Caenorhabditis elegans: one gene and its partner. The protein of the gene in region 2 interacts with the protein of the main gene of each other region in a pairwise test. Each region holds a gene or a part of one and is shown on either strand. Other genes may lie near its edges.

Region 1 (10,451 bases), on a different chromosome or scaffold from region 2:
TAGGGATAGAGAAGAATTACAGCTGGAATCTCTGATATTTCCGTTTTGAATAAAATTGAATATGAATTTACTGCAATGTTTTGCTAGAAAAGACGATACTTTCTTAGAGTAGCCACATTCTGCAGCATTTGACTAGAAATATCTACAACCAATCCAGATTTCAGAAATTGTGCTAATATGCTTGGAAAACTGCAATAAATAATTTATTAATGTAAAAATAAATTCTTGACATTTATAAAAATTCCATAAATTAAACCATATGAGCTCTGGCCACCTTTCTTCTCTTATATGGCTGGGCAGCTGGAGCAGCATCATGAGCATCAGCAACTGGAGCTGGCGATTCATAATCGTGAAGCTTTGGTGGAGCAACTGGAGCTGGTGGTGGTGGATGTGGAGCAGTTGGAGCTGGAGCATCATATCCCTTTGGTGCTGCTGGAGCTGGAGAATCATATCCCTTTGTTGCTGCTGGAGCTGGAGCTTCATAAGACGCTGGTTGGGAGTCGGATGATCCAGTTGCAGCCATCTCAGCGGATCTTGGTGGACATGGACAATAGGCAGCATCAGCTCCTGGAGCTCCAACCTCTCCAACATCCCCTGATGGTCCGTCTGGTCCTGGATGTCCTGGTTGTCCATCAGCTCCAGCTGGCCCTTCTGGTCCTTGTTGTCCATCTTGTCCATTCTCTCCTGGTTCTCCATCTCTTCCTGGTCCTCCTGGAGCTCCTGGTGCACCAACTGGTCCTGGTTGTCCTTGTCCACGAGTTCCGTTCTGTCCAACTGGTCCGTCCTCTCCTGGTGGTCCTGGAAGTCCTGGAGTTCCTTCATCTCCTTCTGGTCCATCTGGTCCTGGTTCTCCATCTTTTCCATTTGTTCCATCAACTCCAAAATCTCCATCTGGTCCTGGATGTCCTGGGAATCCATTTGGTCCTGGTGGTCCTGGTGGTCCAGCTGGGCACTTCACATCCTTATTGAAGTCAGCCATACGATCCCCTTCAGTTGAGTCACTTCCTGGATTTCCAGCTCTTCCAGCTGGTCCATCATCTCCTGGGGTTCCAGGATTTCCTGGTGGTCCTGGTGGTCCAGCTGGACAATCCTTTGGTTGTGGTCCACAATTGCAACCAGAAGAACCGGATGCAGATCCAGCAACTCCAGCATCTCCATATCCTCTTCTGAATCTTTTAAGGAAGGTCTCGAATGGTTGAACAGCATCTTCACGTGGAACCATTGTAGTCCAAGCATCTTCAGCAAGAGTTTTGAATTCAGCAAGATCCTCATATACTCCTGATTGGAAGGAATTAATGTCGTGAAGGACAAACAGTGCGGCAAAAATAGCTGAAAATTGAGACATTTCGTGAGCAGAATGACTTAAAAATGAATTTACCTGGAACAATAGCAACTCCGCAGAGTGCAACGGCAGTACCAGCAACCAATTGTCCAGATGTTGTCATCGTTGGATGATGTCTATTCGTAAAAATCGTTGCCATTATATACGTATCCAAAAAGCTCAAAAAAAGTAGATCTGCGTGTTGCATAATAGCCAGTTTTTCGCTTGGAAAGGATCCCCTATCCGTCTACTTTTTTCTCAATTTTTCGGCGATACACCTTCCCTTTATCGAGTGTTATTTCACATAGCAATAACCGATGGGTGTATGTGGCTTAGAATTTCAAGAAATTAATGATTTTTCTTCTTGTGGTTTGAATATTATTTGTTATATTTGTATTTTAACCATTCAGAGTTTTCATAACTTTCATGAAGGTAAATGTACGTTTCGACGAACTGTAATGCTACAATCTTCTTCCCTTGCATAACATGACAAGCTCATCATGTTTTAGAAAATTATTTCTGAAAACTCATTGGTGGCGATGCTCCAATTGTAAGAACAAACTGATACAGATAATCTGGCTGAATCATGAGAAAATACTTCAGAAACTTCTTGCTCTTCGATTTATCTGTAACTTTTCAGCAAAACAATAAAACATAGCTCTAATCTTTGTTAAATTAACTTCTCTGAATTCATACTCAATCTTTAATTAATTTAGTTGCAGTGACCTCAGCGTCCAATTCATAATCATTGTTTCTAAGACGGCACTTCCTAGAACAGTTTCATCACCGGTCTGCAATAAATGAGACAGCCGGCTGCTAGACGATAGTTGCTGCGGCCTCCGACATATCACGGGTTTCGCGCGCCACTCTAAAATGTGTTAGGTGTGCGCCGCCCCCTTGGAAACTTCTGTTTATTGTGCCGAAGGAAGATTGAAGAAATGGGGGATATTTGAAGAAAAAATCATAAAATCAGTAGATTAAAAAAAAACATGAGTAAAATCTAACATTCGTAATAGTTTTCCATATAAAATCAACAATTTTCCTGACTATGAGTAAGTTGTGGTGGCTCAAAGTGAATTGGATAGGGGAATGGCATTGGATATTGATTAAATGCATTGGAAAATGATTGATTTGGAATATAATAAGGGATAAATGGTGGATGATATTCCGAAATGAATGGACTACTTGTCGATGGTGTTTGAGGCGATTCCTGGAATTTTTACGCGTTCAATTTGAAAAATTCATGGTCAATTTTATACACATTCAGTAATTTTACAGAAAAATAAACATTAAGCTTATTCAGACGCGAAAATTCGATATTTTTAAGCCAAAAATACGGTACTTGGTGTCGGCGCGTCGCTTTTTTGTTAAATATATACATGTGTGTGCCTTTAAGGAGTACTGTAATATCAAACTATCGTTTCTGTAGCATTTTAATTAAATTTTCATCCTTTTTCATTAATAATTTTTTAATTAAAAACTATTACGGGAACAATAAATCATGAGAATGCGTACTTGGTGCATTTTATTTGACGCGCGATATCTCTTAGCGTCAAATAAAATGCACCGAGTACGCATTCTCATGATTTATTGTTCCCGTAATAACAAGTCGTAAGAATGATTTTTCGAATGAAAAATCCACGAATATTCCGCAACAACGAAAGCTTTAAATTACAGTACTCTTAAAGGCGTACAGCCGTTTTCTTGAATTTTTAAAAAAATATTTTTTCTTCACTGAATTTCCTTCACTTTCTAGGCGAGTCGTAAGCTTTTTATTTACTAGAAACATACTTTTTTCATTGATTTCTTATCACTGTCTTCGAAATTCAAATGAAAAACGTTTCCAGTTTTGCTGACGTGCGTGTTGTCCGCCGGAGTCCCATATTCAGCGAATGGAAACCTGAAAACCAATTTATATTGATTTTAATCTAGAAATTAAACTTTTTTAAACAAACCCATAAACTTCTTTTCCCTCGGAAGTCTTGAAGAATTCATCGGAAATTCCATTGTTATGAGTTGATGAAAGTGTATTTGCTGGAGGAAGCATTGGCGGTGTATCTGTCTTATTCTCACTCATCCATGACCTAAATGTGATAACTCTATTAGACGGGCATTTATCATAAGAAGCGAACCAAGATGGCATTGTATCTTTCAGTGAATGCTTCTCCTCTCCTTGACAATCCTGCTTCTCTTGACGGCGAAATTTAGCTCGGCGGTTTTGGAACCATACCTGAAACAGAAGAAAGTAAAACATTTAGAATTGAATAGGACATTTACAGAAAAGTCAGAACATAAAAGTTACCTAACGTTTATAACAATTGACCCAATTTTTTAAAATATAATATTCGTTTCTGATTTTGCGATGATTTTTTGTTGTTTTTCAAATAAGTATAACTCGAAAACTACAGTAGCTCGCAAAAAGATTTTAACTAAACAAATGTTTCCCATAATTTTTTCTACAATTTTTTTTGTTGACAAAATTTTACCATCTGCACTCTGGAAGAAATTACAGTGGAAAAAAATCACGTCCAGGTGGGAGGTTTGAGAGTTTCGTTTTTTCAAGCTTCAAAAATTCTAACGTAAACTTCCCGACCATTGCCAATTCTTTATAAAAATATTTTCTAGGCGACTTACATACTTACGCAACATTTATGATAAGTTTGTTACACCATCCATTAGTTGCACCATCCATTAGAAAACCAAAGGCTTCAATTTTCAAAACTTAAATTTCAAATGTAGATTTTGAATATCTGATTTAAAATAAAGTTCCTCCCCAATTTATTATTTTCCCATTCGACTTCTCCGCCACTATTTCCCTCATCTACCGTATACCAATTAGTAAGTTGTCAATCTCTATGCTCCCTTTGCCCCATCTTGTCCATTAAAGTGCCATGTTTTTACTTTCTTCTCTTGTTCCTCCTAACATCTTTCTTTATCCACCACCTACAGTAATCCCATCAAGAATGTGTAAACTGTCTTGATGAACGCTCGCTCTTTTTACGGGAAACTCAGTCCGCCGGAAAATTACACCAAGTATACCGAATTAGAAATAAAGGAAAAACCAACAGAAATCCGATTTTTTATTTCTCAAAGTTACTCAAAAAGCTCCGATTGTTTGACTGAAAATATTGAAAAATCTAATGATTTTCATGTGTTTTATAGATCATTATATCTTATAGAGAATATACGTTAAATGAATTGTCTAAAAATATTTTTTCGGAGCATTGTCAAATTTCATAATATAAATTGTTAATCTATAACCACCCCCCCCCCCCCCCCAATTTACAAATAGAACTTCATTTTCATTTTTTCAAAGTCCATCGTAATGTACTTCTTCACTCCCCAGCATCCATATTTTTCCTTGTATGACAACAATGTGTCGAGACTCGGCGAGGTAATCCTTAAATTGGTAGGATGTAAGTGACGGAAAAGAAAAAGAAATTTGAGAAGACAATGTCGATTAGTCAGATGCTTATCTTCTTCTTCTTCTTCTACTGTTTATTGTTTGTCCCCCTTTTGACTCAAAAATCAGAAGAGCATAAGGAAGTGTGACAGGAGTGCTAACCTGCCAATTTAACACTACTAATTGTTCCGGATGAGATCAGTTTTCACAGCTGCATGGAAAAAGGACAAGTAGGGTCATGGACAAGAGCAAATAGTTCGAATTTTAATTGTCATGAGCTCTCGAGTGGAGTTATATTCATAATTATATTAAAGAATGAAAATATGTGAATTCACTTTTGTGCCATGTATATGTTAATCTTTTACTACGCTGGATAAATTTTTTCGTAAACTAAAAAAAATTCGAAATTGAACATTACCGTATCCAAATTTGAAAATGTTTTAATTACCAAATCGCAGAGTATTTCAAATTTTCTGTTAATTTTGAGAATTACAAAAAATATCAAATTTGACAATATAAATTGTTAATCTCTATAACCCCCCCCCCCCCCCCATTTATTAGATAGCAATTCAAATTCTCGCTTTTCGAATAAAGTCGAATCTCCAAAAAAACAACAAGAGCTTCCACTGCAGTCATTTTCATATTGAACAACACTGGCTAGTCGACCGTGAATTTTCAGTTTTACTCTTGTGAATAATATATACTATTTAAAAAAAAAAAATAAGTTTTATTTCAGCAAAAAGTTAAAGCAAAAGATGTTCTAAAACAAAGAGGCACTATTGTAAAAATAATAAGTTCTTGGTGACCCGTAAATTTTCAGATTCAAGGAAACCTCCGTTTTTTTGCGATTTACCAGAACTGATTCATATGTTACAATATAATTTTTTAAAATTTCATATTGAAGACGGAATGCCAAAATATTCTCAAAATGGAAATTTTAGATTTGCCAAAATAGTCAGTCTAGTTTTGGTACATTGCAAAAAAATTGTGTTGGTTATTCTGGTAAACTTAAAAAATTGATATGTGAAAACTGATTAAATTCTGTTTTTAATTTAACAGTAAATAATAAAATTTCAATATTTTTCGCTGCTCTACTCTCAGATAAAAAATATGTTCTCACCTGAACTCGAACCTCTGGCAATTGAACTTTAGCAGCCAATGTTTCTCTTGCATAAACATCTGGATAATGAGTTTTATCAAATGCAGCTTCAAGAGCATGAAGTTGAAATGTCGTGAATGTTGTACGATTTCTACGTTGCTTCTTGTCTGCTATCTTATCTCGATTCTTTCGTGATGATGATGATTTTGATGGAGAAGAATCAGATTCAAATGAAGAAAATGAGTCGGATGGTTTGTATGTTGTAAATGAGGAAAACGCCGAAACTGAAAAAAAAAATGAGATGAGTTTAGGAAAAAGTTGAATAATTGCTTTCGAGAAACATTTGATTTCTGAAATTTACGATGGCTTATTGTATGAATGGTTTAATTTCGAATAAAAGGGTTTATGTGCTTTTTTACGGAAGAATTTTCTCTAGAAACGGATAATCGCATTTTCAATGTCAGTTTTTTAATCCGCAACGACGAGGAGTTGGGAACTACAGTACTGAAAACTGCCAGAAAATCCGGTACGATTGCCGGAAATTTTGGGCTTAAATCGGTCGTATCGAGACCGTGTACCGCATTCTTCTGGCAAAATTTAGAATCTGGGTGATATTTATTCTGATAAGTAATAAGAATCGTTACCATCAGTCCAAAATCCAGGATAATAAAATCCCTTTGGAATGTTCATTAAAGAAATAAATACCTAATATGTTTTTAATTCAGATTTGTTGTTTAGAAATGTAAAATGAGAATGCGTATTTTGGCGCATATCTCACCTGATAGCCTTGGAAAAGAAACGTATGCTTTTCACATGACTTTTCTTCCAGCAGCTTCTCGAGGTCATTTGGGGATTACTCATTTTATTAGAGAACTTTTGTTAGCGTTGGTAGGTTGTGTTGACAAGACTTCATATCAGTTAAAGTTTACTATTTTGATTGAAAAACTTGGAGTATTTTATAGTATTTTAGTTTAAGAAATTTGAGAGCGAGAAAGAAAATTAGATTTGATTGATCTAGCTTGAGATGCTGATAATACTTTAAAAGTATCAGTTCAAACATGCATCCCTGAAAAGTGAAAAAAAAGTGAAAACGTAACCTTTAAGCTCGTGTTTTGCAATGTGGCGTTAAGGTTCTACTGCATGATGTATTAAAATTTCAAGAAAAATGCTTGTTGGGAACCCCGACGGACAAAGTTTTAATACTCTTTCACAGTTAAATTCGAATCTAGATTTCTCATTAACATTTCTCATTAATCTAAAAAACAGAGATTTTGATTTTTTTTTAAATTTTGAAATTAAATCAAACGTTCTTGAACATATCCGACAAATCAAGCATATGAATAATCTCCAATTTTCAAACGAAAAAAAAACAACTAAAATTCCATTCAATTAGAGGGGGTGGAGGTGGAGCCCCAAAAAAGCTCGCAAATCGAATTTGGAAATAATTTGGATATAATTTGACAAAATAGGTGAATTGAATTACCAAATTTGTAGAGACTTCAAACATCAAAAACTCACAATTTGGTGTTATCGATGACGTGGCAGAGTTGTTGTCAGTTGGATTGCTCATCCCGGATGACAGGACAGGAAAAATTGAGGGCAGCAGGGTGGCAGAATATATTGGGGAGGAGATTGACTCCAGTTTTCTAGGGGGGAATATTTTGGAGCGAGGGGAGGAGCCATCCAATAAAAGAAATCTAAAGAAGAACTGTGTGATGGGAAGCAGCAAAGGGAACAAGCTGGAATATCGGGAGGAAACCATAAATTGTCATCATAAAATTTATATTTCGTGCTCCTTCCTCAATCAGGTCGCATGCTTTATGTTCAAGGGAATTCAATGCTTAAATAAATACAGTATGCGTTTTGGCACATGTTCAGCATATCGGGAAAAACGTTTCTAGCTGGTTAAGTGTCTTTTGAAGTAGGGATTTATCAAAAATTGGTCAAATTGCAAACCATAAAAGTTTTTCTACATTAAATAAGTTGCTATGCTTGCAACATTTTATACTAAACAGCTTACAACCTACGTGATATTTTTTCCCAATTGTAATAAAACACAGCGTCTCTTAGAGGCATTTATGTAACCGTACAACACCTTTTGCTCAGTTGAAAAATGTCCCGTAGGCCAAATGTATATATATATATATATATATAGGGTGCGCCAAAAGTATGGTAACACGTGAAGCGCTCTTTTAAATGGGTTTTTTCGCGCGACTGCCACTTCACACGTACAATTTTCTATAGAATACTGATAGCTGAATAAATTTCCTTCAATTTGACCTAAAATTTGTAATGTTTCCCAATAAGGTGCAATCTTTATCGCCTCGGCAATTTGACGATCCCTGTCGCCGAAACGGTGTTTTGGCACGCGGCACCTCCAACACAAACGCACCTCCGACGGACGCCAATAATTTTCAGATGTATGATTTTCATGTTAAATCCAAAGTTTAAAAAGTTAAGAAGCGTTTTTGATTGTTTTCGTAGCATATAAAAATTTTATGTGTCGACACTGGCGCCTAGCAAGAACCTTTGAATATTTCATGAAATCAACTTTGCGAAATTTACTCAGTTTTTTTTTGTCTTCACAAGGTGTAACGACTCACAAAATCATCCGAGCTCAATCTTCTATAAAAATTCTTGAAAGTCAGATCAAAACGTGTCGAAAAGTACTAAAATTAATTTTCTTGGATACTGCTGCCGCCGCCCACATCCACCTTTCTGGCGACTGTATCATTCAAGGCGTCTTTGTCATTCAAAGTACTGCCACAGTCATACCATGACAGAACTTTTTTGGATTTTTGTTTTTTAGGAATCTCTAGACCAAGAGCATTCTTTGAACTATAAAAACTTGTAAGACACTTGTGGATTCCTCGAGAAAAAGTGTAGAAATCCCGCAGAGTGCCTACTTGCGTGCCAAAAAATTGAGATCTCAAAAGTTCTGAGGTCCTGCAGCGATGCGGATGGGGATATTTTGAAAATTCAAAACGTTAATCGCACCCTGTATATATAATCCATCATATAGATCAATTTTCATGTAACCTATCGTATCGAATTAGCAGCTAAGCAACTAAGCCTAAGGACCTAGGTCTGGTGACCATGCTTTACTTCGGTTTTTTAAAGTATTCATCTTTGTTCTTTTTAATATTGTATCGTATATTTTTTTAATTTTTAACTTACACATAGACTGCGATGCGTTCTTGAAGGGATATTCTGTGCTTGATTGGAAGAAGAGTTATTACAGTATCTAACACTGTCCACGAATTCCAGAAATTAATTTTTTGCCTTATTTTATCATCTTTTTAAGTACTTCTTGTTTTAAAATATTAGATTGCTGGCCTCGATCTCCATCGGGTTGTTGCAAAAACCTCGTATCTCTGAACTCGTGACTTTTACATTTGTTTATCATAAACTCCGAAACCTACCTTCCGTATACTCCCTGGATAATTAAAACCCCACCAAATATCACTATAGATGCATTACTTTCATAATTTTCACACATGATCTCGACGATAATGTGGTCAAGCTACACAAAAACATTTCGATTGGGTTAGTTATTTAGTGGGACCGTTATCTTTGTTGCGTTTACGGAACGAAAATACGGTACCCGGTCTCGACACGATCGAACAATTTTAAATTAAAACGATTGTGCGCCTTTAAGGTGTACAGTAGTTTTCCCACTTCGCTATTTCCCAATTTTTAGATTTTTCTCGTTTTCTATTTCAAAACGTCTAACTTCTGTTATTCACATTAAATAGCAAGTGTTTAAATTTTAAAAAAAAGTCGAAGAAAAGTACTGTACACTTTAAAGGCGCACACTCTTTTTCATTTAAAATAATTCGGTCGTGTCGAGATCATTTATTTCACAGAGATATGAAAAATATTGCTTCGGGGAGCCAATTATGAAATTGAATGGGAGAATCAAAGTGAAAGTATGAACACAACAAGAAATTCAATTGAAGTGAAAATGGATTACTGTAAATTATTGAAATATCGTGTGAATTTGTAATTTTCTTGAATTTTTGTTTCTCATTGATTCAACAGTTTTAAGGTCGACAACGCGTATTTACTGATAAAAGCCTTGCTACCCAATGATCGCGTGTAAATTTTATGAATAAGACTTAAATATATGATAATGAATTTATATAAATAAAACAAAAACAGAACATTAACAGTTACTTAATTAAAGGAGAAACCAGTAAACGAGGCAATAGAGGGGATGTAAGACGATTTTACAAAAAGTTTAAATTTCAGGATTTTAATTAACACACAAAAGGAGGACTAGAATTTTGAAAATATTCACATTGATAATATTTATTTTCTGCCCACAGTCCGGCGAATTGGGGAGGCCAAGAATCCGGCTGGATAGAGCATGCGGTAGGTCACAAACCAGCAAACGACAGCGGCCACAGCTCCGAGAATCTGAAAAATAGGGAAATTGAGTAATTAAATTTTTGAAGAATACAAATTGTTATTCTGAGATGCAAAATATGATTACCTCTTCAATGAAGATATGATAATAAAGAACGGAGATGATAATTTGCTTGAACCAGAATGCATGAAGGAACAACATTGCGACGAAGAAATATTGAATGCATCGAGTCAAACGATCATGTTCTTCACGATCACCG
Region 2 (7,338 bases):
TTTTCAAATGAGTGCAAAATTAGCTTTTCTAGACGAAATGTTAATTTTAATCAGAAAAATACGTTTAATTTATTTGGGTGCAAGATCGTCAGAGGCGTCGCGGTTTAGCCCGCAACGCACCACAAAACACTATCAATAGTCCACGTTCGCACCATCAAAATGCGAAGCAACTTTAAATTTAAAGGTTAGGTCTCGAATTCCAATAGACATTCACTTTAGAAGTCATTTCAATCTTTTTCTAAAATCACGACAAAAGTACTAGATTTCACCAGAAAAATAGGTTTATTCAATGATGACTGTAATAAAAAAAATAGCTATGAAATACATGGATTATACATAAAAGATCCTGATAGAATTATCCACGGGTGGCGATGTATCCGATGAGGTCGACAACACGGTTCGAGTATCCATATTCATTGTCGTACCTGTAAAAAATAAATTTAAAATACATTTTTTAAAAATTCAGTGGTTACCAAGAGACGAGCTTGACGAAGTTCGGGTTGAGCGAAATGCATGCTCCAGTATCGAAAATGGACGAGTGAGGGTCGGACACGAAGTCAGTCGACACAACTTGATCTTCGGTGTAGGCGAGGATTCCCTTCATTGGTCCATCGGCAGCGGCCTTGACTACCTTCTTGATGTCATCCATCGAAGCTGGTTTCTCGAGGCGAACGGTCAGATCAACGACGGAAACATCTGGTGTAGGGACACGGAAAGCCATTCCAGTGAGCTTTCCGTTCAGCTCCGGAATGACTTTTCCCACAGCCTTGGCGGCTCCAGTGGAAGCTGGAATGATGTTTTGTCCAGCACCGCGTCCATCTCTCCACAGCTTTCCGGATGGTCCATCGACTGTCTTCTGGGTTGCGGTTACAGCGTGCACTGTCGTCATGAGTCCTTCGATGATACCTGAAAATAAAATAAATTAGAAAAAAACAAATTGATTTGATGATGATCATACCGAAGTTATCATTGATAACCTTCGCCAGTGGTGCCAGACAGTTGGTGGTGCACGATGCGTTAGAAATAACGTGATCATTCGAAGCGTCGTACTTCTCATGGTTTACTCCAACCACGTACATTGGAGCATCAGCAGATGGAGCAGAGATGATGACCTTCTTGGCTCCTCCTTGAAGATGGGCAGAGGCCTTTTCCTTTGTCGTGAAAACTCCAGTAGACTCGACAACGAAATCGGCTTTGACTGATCCCCATGCGATGGCAGCTGGATCCTTGCTGTTGAAGACCTTGATCTTGTGCGATGATTTGCCATCTTTCTGGACAATCAGAAAGTCTCCATCGTAGGTAACAGTTCCTTTGAATTGACCGTGGGTCGAGTCATACTTGAAAAGGTAGACCATGTAGTCGATTGTGATAAACGGATCGTTGACGGCGACCACTTGAACCGTGTCCTTTTCGACAGCCGCGCGGAGCACGAGACGTCCGATTCTTCCGAAACCGTTGATTCCGACGTTGGCTTTCGACATTTTTTTGAGTCTGTAAGAAAACTTGAATGAAATTTTGACGGAAGATTCACAAGAAGTAATAGCTTAAGAAGGAACAAATCTGAATAAAAATGGCGAAAATTCAGATTGAAGCAAAGAGAGCAAAGCAAAATCAACCGCATCGGGAAGAAAAAGAGAATAAATGATGAAAAAGAAATCTAGATTGGTGAACAACTGCAGAAAATTGAAAACTTGCCGCTCGTGCGCGTCTGCAAAGCGCAAAAATATTTTTCATATTCGTTGCGAGACCCGTGGTTTTTAAATTTGGTCATCCCTTTAAAATTGAAAATTCTGGTGGAAAAAAATCAATAATTTTTCTTCAAAAATAAAGAGAAGATCAAAAATTATTGAAAATGAATTTTTATTCCGAAAAATCGAGAATAACACTAAATTTATCAGCTTTTAAGTGTAATCTAGAAATAAAAAAGAAAAACTATGCAAAAACTGAATATAAAAATGTGAAAATAAAATATTTTCGTTTCTTTTCTGAAGAAAAAAATAAATATAATATGCATTGTTTTATATCTATGGATATAAGACAATAATTGTTGATTTTTAGCTATTTTCAACAGGAAAACCGATTTTGTGCCGCTCTCTGATAAACTTGGGTACGGTATGTCTTGAAATCGAAAATTGTAACTCATAGTTTATTACGGGAACACAAAATTCTGAGAATGCATATTATTTACGGGCTCGAATGGATTAAAATAATTTATTTATCTATAGAATACTAAAATTAAGCAAAAAATGAGAAACGAATGAAAAAAGAATGTCGCTGTTCGAAATTAAATTAATTTCATAAATCGAGCCCGTAAATCGACACAAGCGCTACAGTAGTCATTTAAAGAATTACTGTATACAGCTGTAGTTCTCGCTACGAGATATTTAAAGCGTCAAATATGTTGCACAGTACGAATTTTTAGAATTTTGTGTTCCGGTAATATGTAAACTGTATTAATCATCCAGATTAAGAATATTACAATTTATAAAGCAAAAATACAGTATCAGGTCTCGACACGACCTTGAATTTTTAAACGGTTTCTCCAAAAAAGAGTGTACATTTTTAATAAGTAACTACAATAGTTCTTAATTGTCGCGGTTCACAGCTTTCAGTAACAAACTTCCGATCGTTGCAAGACCGTATTCTTGCAACATCTTTGTAGTTTCAAACTTTTAAACATGACTTTGACAGAACATTTCAGAGTTTTTTTGGGATGTCTGATTGTTTTTAACAGGTATGTTTGAAGAAGGAAATTTAATAAAATAAGTAACCTAGGTATATTATATTATTAACTCTCAAACATGTTGAATGTTTCATGTTACTTGAAATACTTGAAATTTGAAAAAAAAACTATTGTGATACTGATACATGTTACGGTATTTATTTTTCAGATTCGCCAGTCTGTGAGGAATATGTCCTAGTTTTCAGCTTCCGTTCCTATGCAAGCGCCGAGCCACCTTCTTCCCAACCTCGGGGGCCCTTAAAGAAATACTTTTAAGAAGGAGAAGCAGGGAAGAAGTGATGTTCCATTGTTGAGAGGGGCCCTAGGCACACACACATATCTCCTTTTCGTCCCATCTCTTCACCCACAACAACACACACACAACTGAGACACACACACTCGCACCACACACACTCACACAGACAGACACTCTCTCACTCACTCACGTACACTCCCCCAGGCAACGAGGAGACACTCCCCGCTGCCGCACATATTTTATCGACGCAGCAACTTAGTTTCGTTCCCCCCTCCCTAACTCTCTCTCTAGGCCACCTTTGCTTTTCTCTAGCTGCTTTTCCGGCTTCATCTCGGCTTCTTTTACAATTTTGGTTTCCATGGAAACTACTTCCAAATTATCCAAGAGACTAAATGCAACATCGTCTGGGTCTCTCTCTGTAAATGTCTAGTTTCAGGGGTGGTGCGGCAGAGAAGAAAGTCATGACCAATGAGGAGCCGGTGCCATCGACGAGCAGTGTGCTCAGTGCAGCCGAGAAAAACGTGAAGATGTGAGTAGTCTATCTGCAAAAATCGGCTGAAAGTCTGTACGACCACCTGTGCGAGAAAAACCCCATATCTTATCATATCAAATTCTCCCATCCCATCACTTTTTTCCCATTATTTCCATTTTCGAGAAAGAGATGAATGACCTTCACACGGTGTCGTCGTTGGGTGGCCATAGGAACATTGAATTGGAGAAAAAAAAGATACAGCAAAAAAAAGTGTGACATGACAAGAAAAAAACTGTTTAAGAAAAAAAAGAAGAAAATTAAGTAAATGAGGAAGGAAGTAGGAAAAATACTTTATTTATCAAAATAAATGTATAATATTTCAAAAAAAAAATCACCGAAACTTACAGTTTTGAAAAATGCGTTTCGTAGAACAACTACTATAGTGCTTAAATGTTCAAAAATTATAGCAAAACTTTTGGTTTTTTTTATTTACAGTCAAAAAAGTGGTGAAAACTTTGTCATAATTTTGAAAATCGACCAAAAAAATCAAAATTTCTACGAGTTTTATATTTTAATTAGAACGTTCTAGAAATTTGAACCGGCATCAATTTCACAATTTCGGAACATTTGGCAATTTACTAACTTCGGAAGGTTTTCAGATTTTTCAAAATTCAAAAAAAAAATCGAAATTTTTGTAGTGTTTAATTAGGATATTTGGCTTTTTTTCTACAAATGTATTTCTTTAGGACATAATTCAGTTTATGCTTAGGCAAGAAGGCTCTAGGTGTATGTGCCTGCCTATCGAAATGTACTGCAATTTTGCGTGAACTCCGGTATTTTCATGTTTTTGATAATGTAGATTTTAATCCGAACTTCTTAAGTTAATTTTCAAATCAATCAATTTATCGAAAGGTCTTTTAAAAATGCGCACAATAGGCTCCAAGCAGGCCTAGGTTTTCTTGAAGGCTGGCAAAGTATATAATCTTGTGAAATATTTTTGAAGCTTTGAAAGTTGTGGTCACTTTAAAACAATAACCAATTTTTTCAGAGAGACTCCTTCAAGGAAGCGAAAAGGACTTGATATTGATGCACTTTGGAGGAAGAAATTTAAAGATGTCGAAAATCAAAAATCACCGGAGAAATCTGAAAAGTCTGAAAAAACGATTAAAGAAGAGCCTCTAGAAACACATCCATCTGGAGAAAGAAAACTTCGATCTGCATCCAAAGATTCAAAATCGTAAGTTTTTTCTTTCAACAACCAACAAATTGACTATCAATGGAGCGTTTTGTAAAATGTGTTTAAAGTTGAGGAACTAACGTTCTCATCTTCACACTTCCTCTCTACTTTGGTTCCTCTCTCTCTTCATCTGCTCCTGGCTTTGCATCTTTTCTCTCTGGAGAATTGGCGAGGGCATAAATTAGCGTAGAGTAGTGGTCGGTTTGTCTATGCTATACTCTCAGACCCAAAACGAAGAGCAAAGTGAGAGAAAGTAGAAAGAAGAGCACAAAGATATGAACAAGAAATTATGAAAAAGATGGTGAAGCACCCGGTGTGTGAACGTGACCAAAAGCGGGAAGTTTTCTGAAAATAAAAACAAATTAGCTGGAATAAAACGACAACGAAAAATAATGAAACGATAAAAGAGTAAGAAAAGGAAATTAAATTTTACATGAAAATGTAGGATTTTCAAAACATTAGTAATATTAAAAAAAAAAAAACTAAAGTATAACATGATTATCAGCTACAGTAACAGATAGAATTTTGAAAACTTGAAATTGAAATATTCCAAACTTTGAAAAAGTGCACAGTTCAAAAGGAGTTGTATGGAAAAATGATTTTAACTGAAGTTTTAATCAAAAACTGAAACAGATCGATTTGAGTTTAAAAAATTTACTATAGCTGCATACAAGCATATTGAAACATATAAAGTCTGTCTGAAAGTTTTCAGACAATTATTTAATTTAAGTAAATGAAATTGGTTGAGAAAATGAAGTTTTATTTTTGTTCAGAAAAGCTTCAATGATATTTTAAAGATACGAGAACGATTTTAAAATATTCCCAGAATTCTTAATTTTTTTATAATTTAAAAAATCAATGAAATTTTTTAAAAACAATTCTCTGAAAGAACAGAAAACTTATTTAGGACTATGATTTTATTTCCGAATGTTTGAAGTACCAGAATTACCACAAAATATAATTGAAGTTTCCTATTTTTTAAAAGAAAAATCTGATCACATCGCTTGATGGAAAATGATTTTGGATAAGATTAGAAATGTGATCTTTAATTAGAAAAATCCACAAAATAATGTGTCGGAAAAAAAAAACAAATGCAGATGAATAAAAACAGAACTTGAAGGTTAAAGGGAAAAATTCCAATTTTTTTAATTTGCAGTCAAAACTTGAGATTAAAAAACTCAGTTTTTGCCAATCATAATTTTGGAAATCGACAAAAAATTGTTTCCGTAAATTTGGTAATTTGCTAAATATTAGGCTGTAAATGCTCCAAAATTAAATAAAAATTCGGGGGTGTCAGCTCAAGAAAAGTCAGTTCAAGATGATTAGATGCTGCAAGTTTTCGATTGGCTTGCAGGGGGTGCAACTTTAATAGAGGGAATTCGGTATTCCGAATTAGTAATAGTGAAATTGAAAATTGAGAAAAACTCACATTAAAGGTAAATTAGAAGAAGCACGAGTTCTTTCTAAATTCCAAAATATCTCGTGAACTCGTGCCAATTAAGAGGAGAACTAGTGGCGGGTGGAGTGGTGTGCTTGTCGGCTTGGAGTGGGTGGAGTGATAACAGAAGCCCGATTCGGAGTCCCTTTCTGCGTTTCCATGGATACGGGGAATAATGAAAACCTCGCATCCGCTTCCCCCCACTTTTGTCATCTCATACTACTACTATTTAGTTTATTTGTTAATTTTTCATATCCCATGTCTTTTCGACATGCTAAAATTCAAATCCTAGAGTCAAATTTAATGCACAAGTAGTTCAAATTTTCAGATTATCAAAAGAAACTCACAATACAATAAGCACAAGGTCTTCTTCGTCTGGAACACCTCGTAAGAAAATGGAGCCTGAAGATGTGAAGCCAAATATCAAGATGCTCAAGAAATCATTGCCAGTCTCATTTCAATGTTCTAACCTAAATGATGGTACCGTGGGAGATGGTGAGTTTCAATCAACCACCTGTTGGCATTGCCAGAAATGATGAGGCCAGCTCGCGCAGATTCTTGACTAATTAGTTTTCGACGCAGTATACCCGTAAAATTTAAAAGAAAATAAATATGAGATAACGGACGGATAGATAATCAAAGGTGTGGTGGCGAGTCTAGAGGAAGTAAGAGAACCTAGAGATATGATAATAGCACAGCTTCATGCACATACCCACATATGGCTCCTTTTGCTGCTCTCACGCTCACTTCTTTTCTCTGTTAAATCGCAGAATACGAAGAACCATTTGTGTGAGGTTTTGTCTACCCCATTTGTACTACGAACTATCTGAATATGTCAGTTTATCTACTCGGTGAAAAAGATTACGAAGAAGAAGTCGAAGTGGAAAACGAGAATAGTAGAGAAAGTGACTTTACTGGAGAATTTTTAAGTGTTCTGCCAATGGAAATTGGGCTTGACCAAGGTAGGATTCTTATTTGATCTAGGAAACTTCTAATACAAAATTTTGAAAAATTATTGCTTTTCTATTCCGGCTCTCTTTGGGCTTATCAAAAAACTTTCAATTAACAAAACACTTGAAAAATATTTCTCTATTTTTTAATAAATGACCAATTTTTGATAACACTAAAGAAAGCGGATATACATCTAAGGCGTAAAGGTAAAGCATTGAAGGTTCAATTCTAATAAGAAAAATAAGTTATATAAAGTTGATAG

The links.
Region 1: the proteins of daf-19 (region 2) and ceh-8 interact in a two-hybrid assay, tested with the Caenorhabditis elegans proteins (one large-scale study listed by BioGRID).

Annotation. Positions count from the first base shown.
Region 1 is NC_003279.8:8,243,504-8,253,954, forward strand, and holds ceh-8 (Homeobox protein ceh-8), read right to left. Parts: upstream 7,446-10,451; 5' UTR 7,394-7,445; coding exon 7,342-7,393; intron 6,548-7,341; exon of another isoform or gene 6,514-6,547; coding exon of another isoform or gene 6,468-6,513; intron 6,108-6,467; coding exon 5,845-6,107; intron 3,552-5,844; coding exon 3,454-3,551; intron 3,406-3,453; coding exon 3,277-3,405; intron 3,222-3,276; coding exon 3,113-3,221; intron 2,532-3,112; coding exon 2,352-2,531; 3' UTR 2,002-2,351; downstream 1-2,001. Other genes in the region: nsph-2 (Nematode Specific Peptide family), read left to right, coding at 1-3; col-63 (Nematode cuticle collagen N-terminal domain-containing protein), read right to left, coding at 251-1,329, 1,379-1,445; fitm-2 (Acyl-coenzyme A diphosphatase FITM2), read right to left, coding at 10,135-10,242, 10,319-10,451.
Region 2 is NC_003280.10:10,165,423-10,172,760, reverse strand, and holds the start of daf-19 (RFX-like transcription factor daf-19), read left to right. Parts: upstream 1-3,415; 5' UTR 3,416-3,439; coding exon 3,440-3,507; intron 3,508-4,498; coding exon 4,499-4,687; intron 4,688-6,453; coding exon 6,454-6,620; intron 6,621-7,338. Other genes in the region: gpd-4 (Glyceraldehyde-3-phosphate dehydrogenase 4), read right to left, coding at 356-425, 474-906, 959-1,481. UniProt on the Caenorhabditis elegans protein: Probable transcription factor. May regulate some genes of ciliated sensory neurons. May activate the expression of the shared components of sensory cilia, but not the cell-type-specific expression.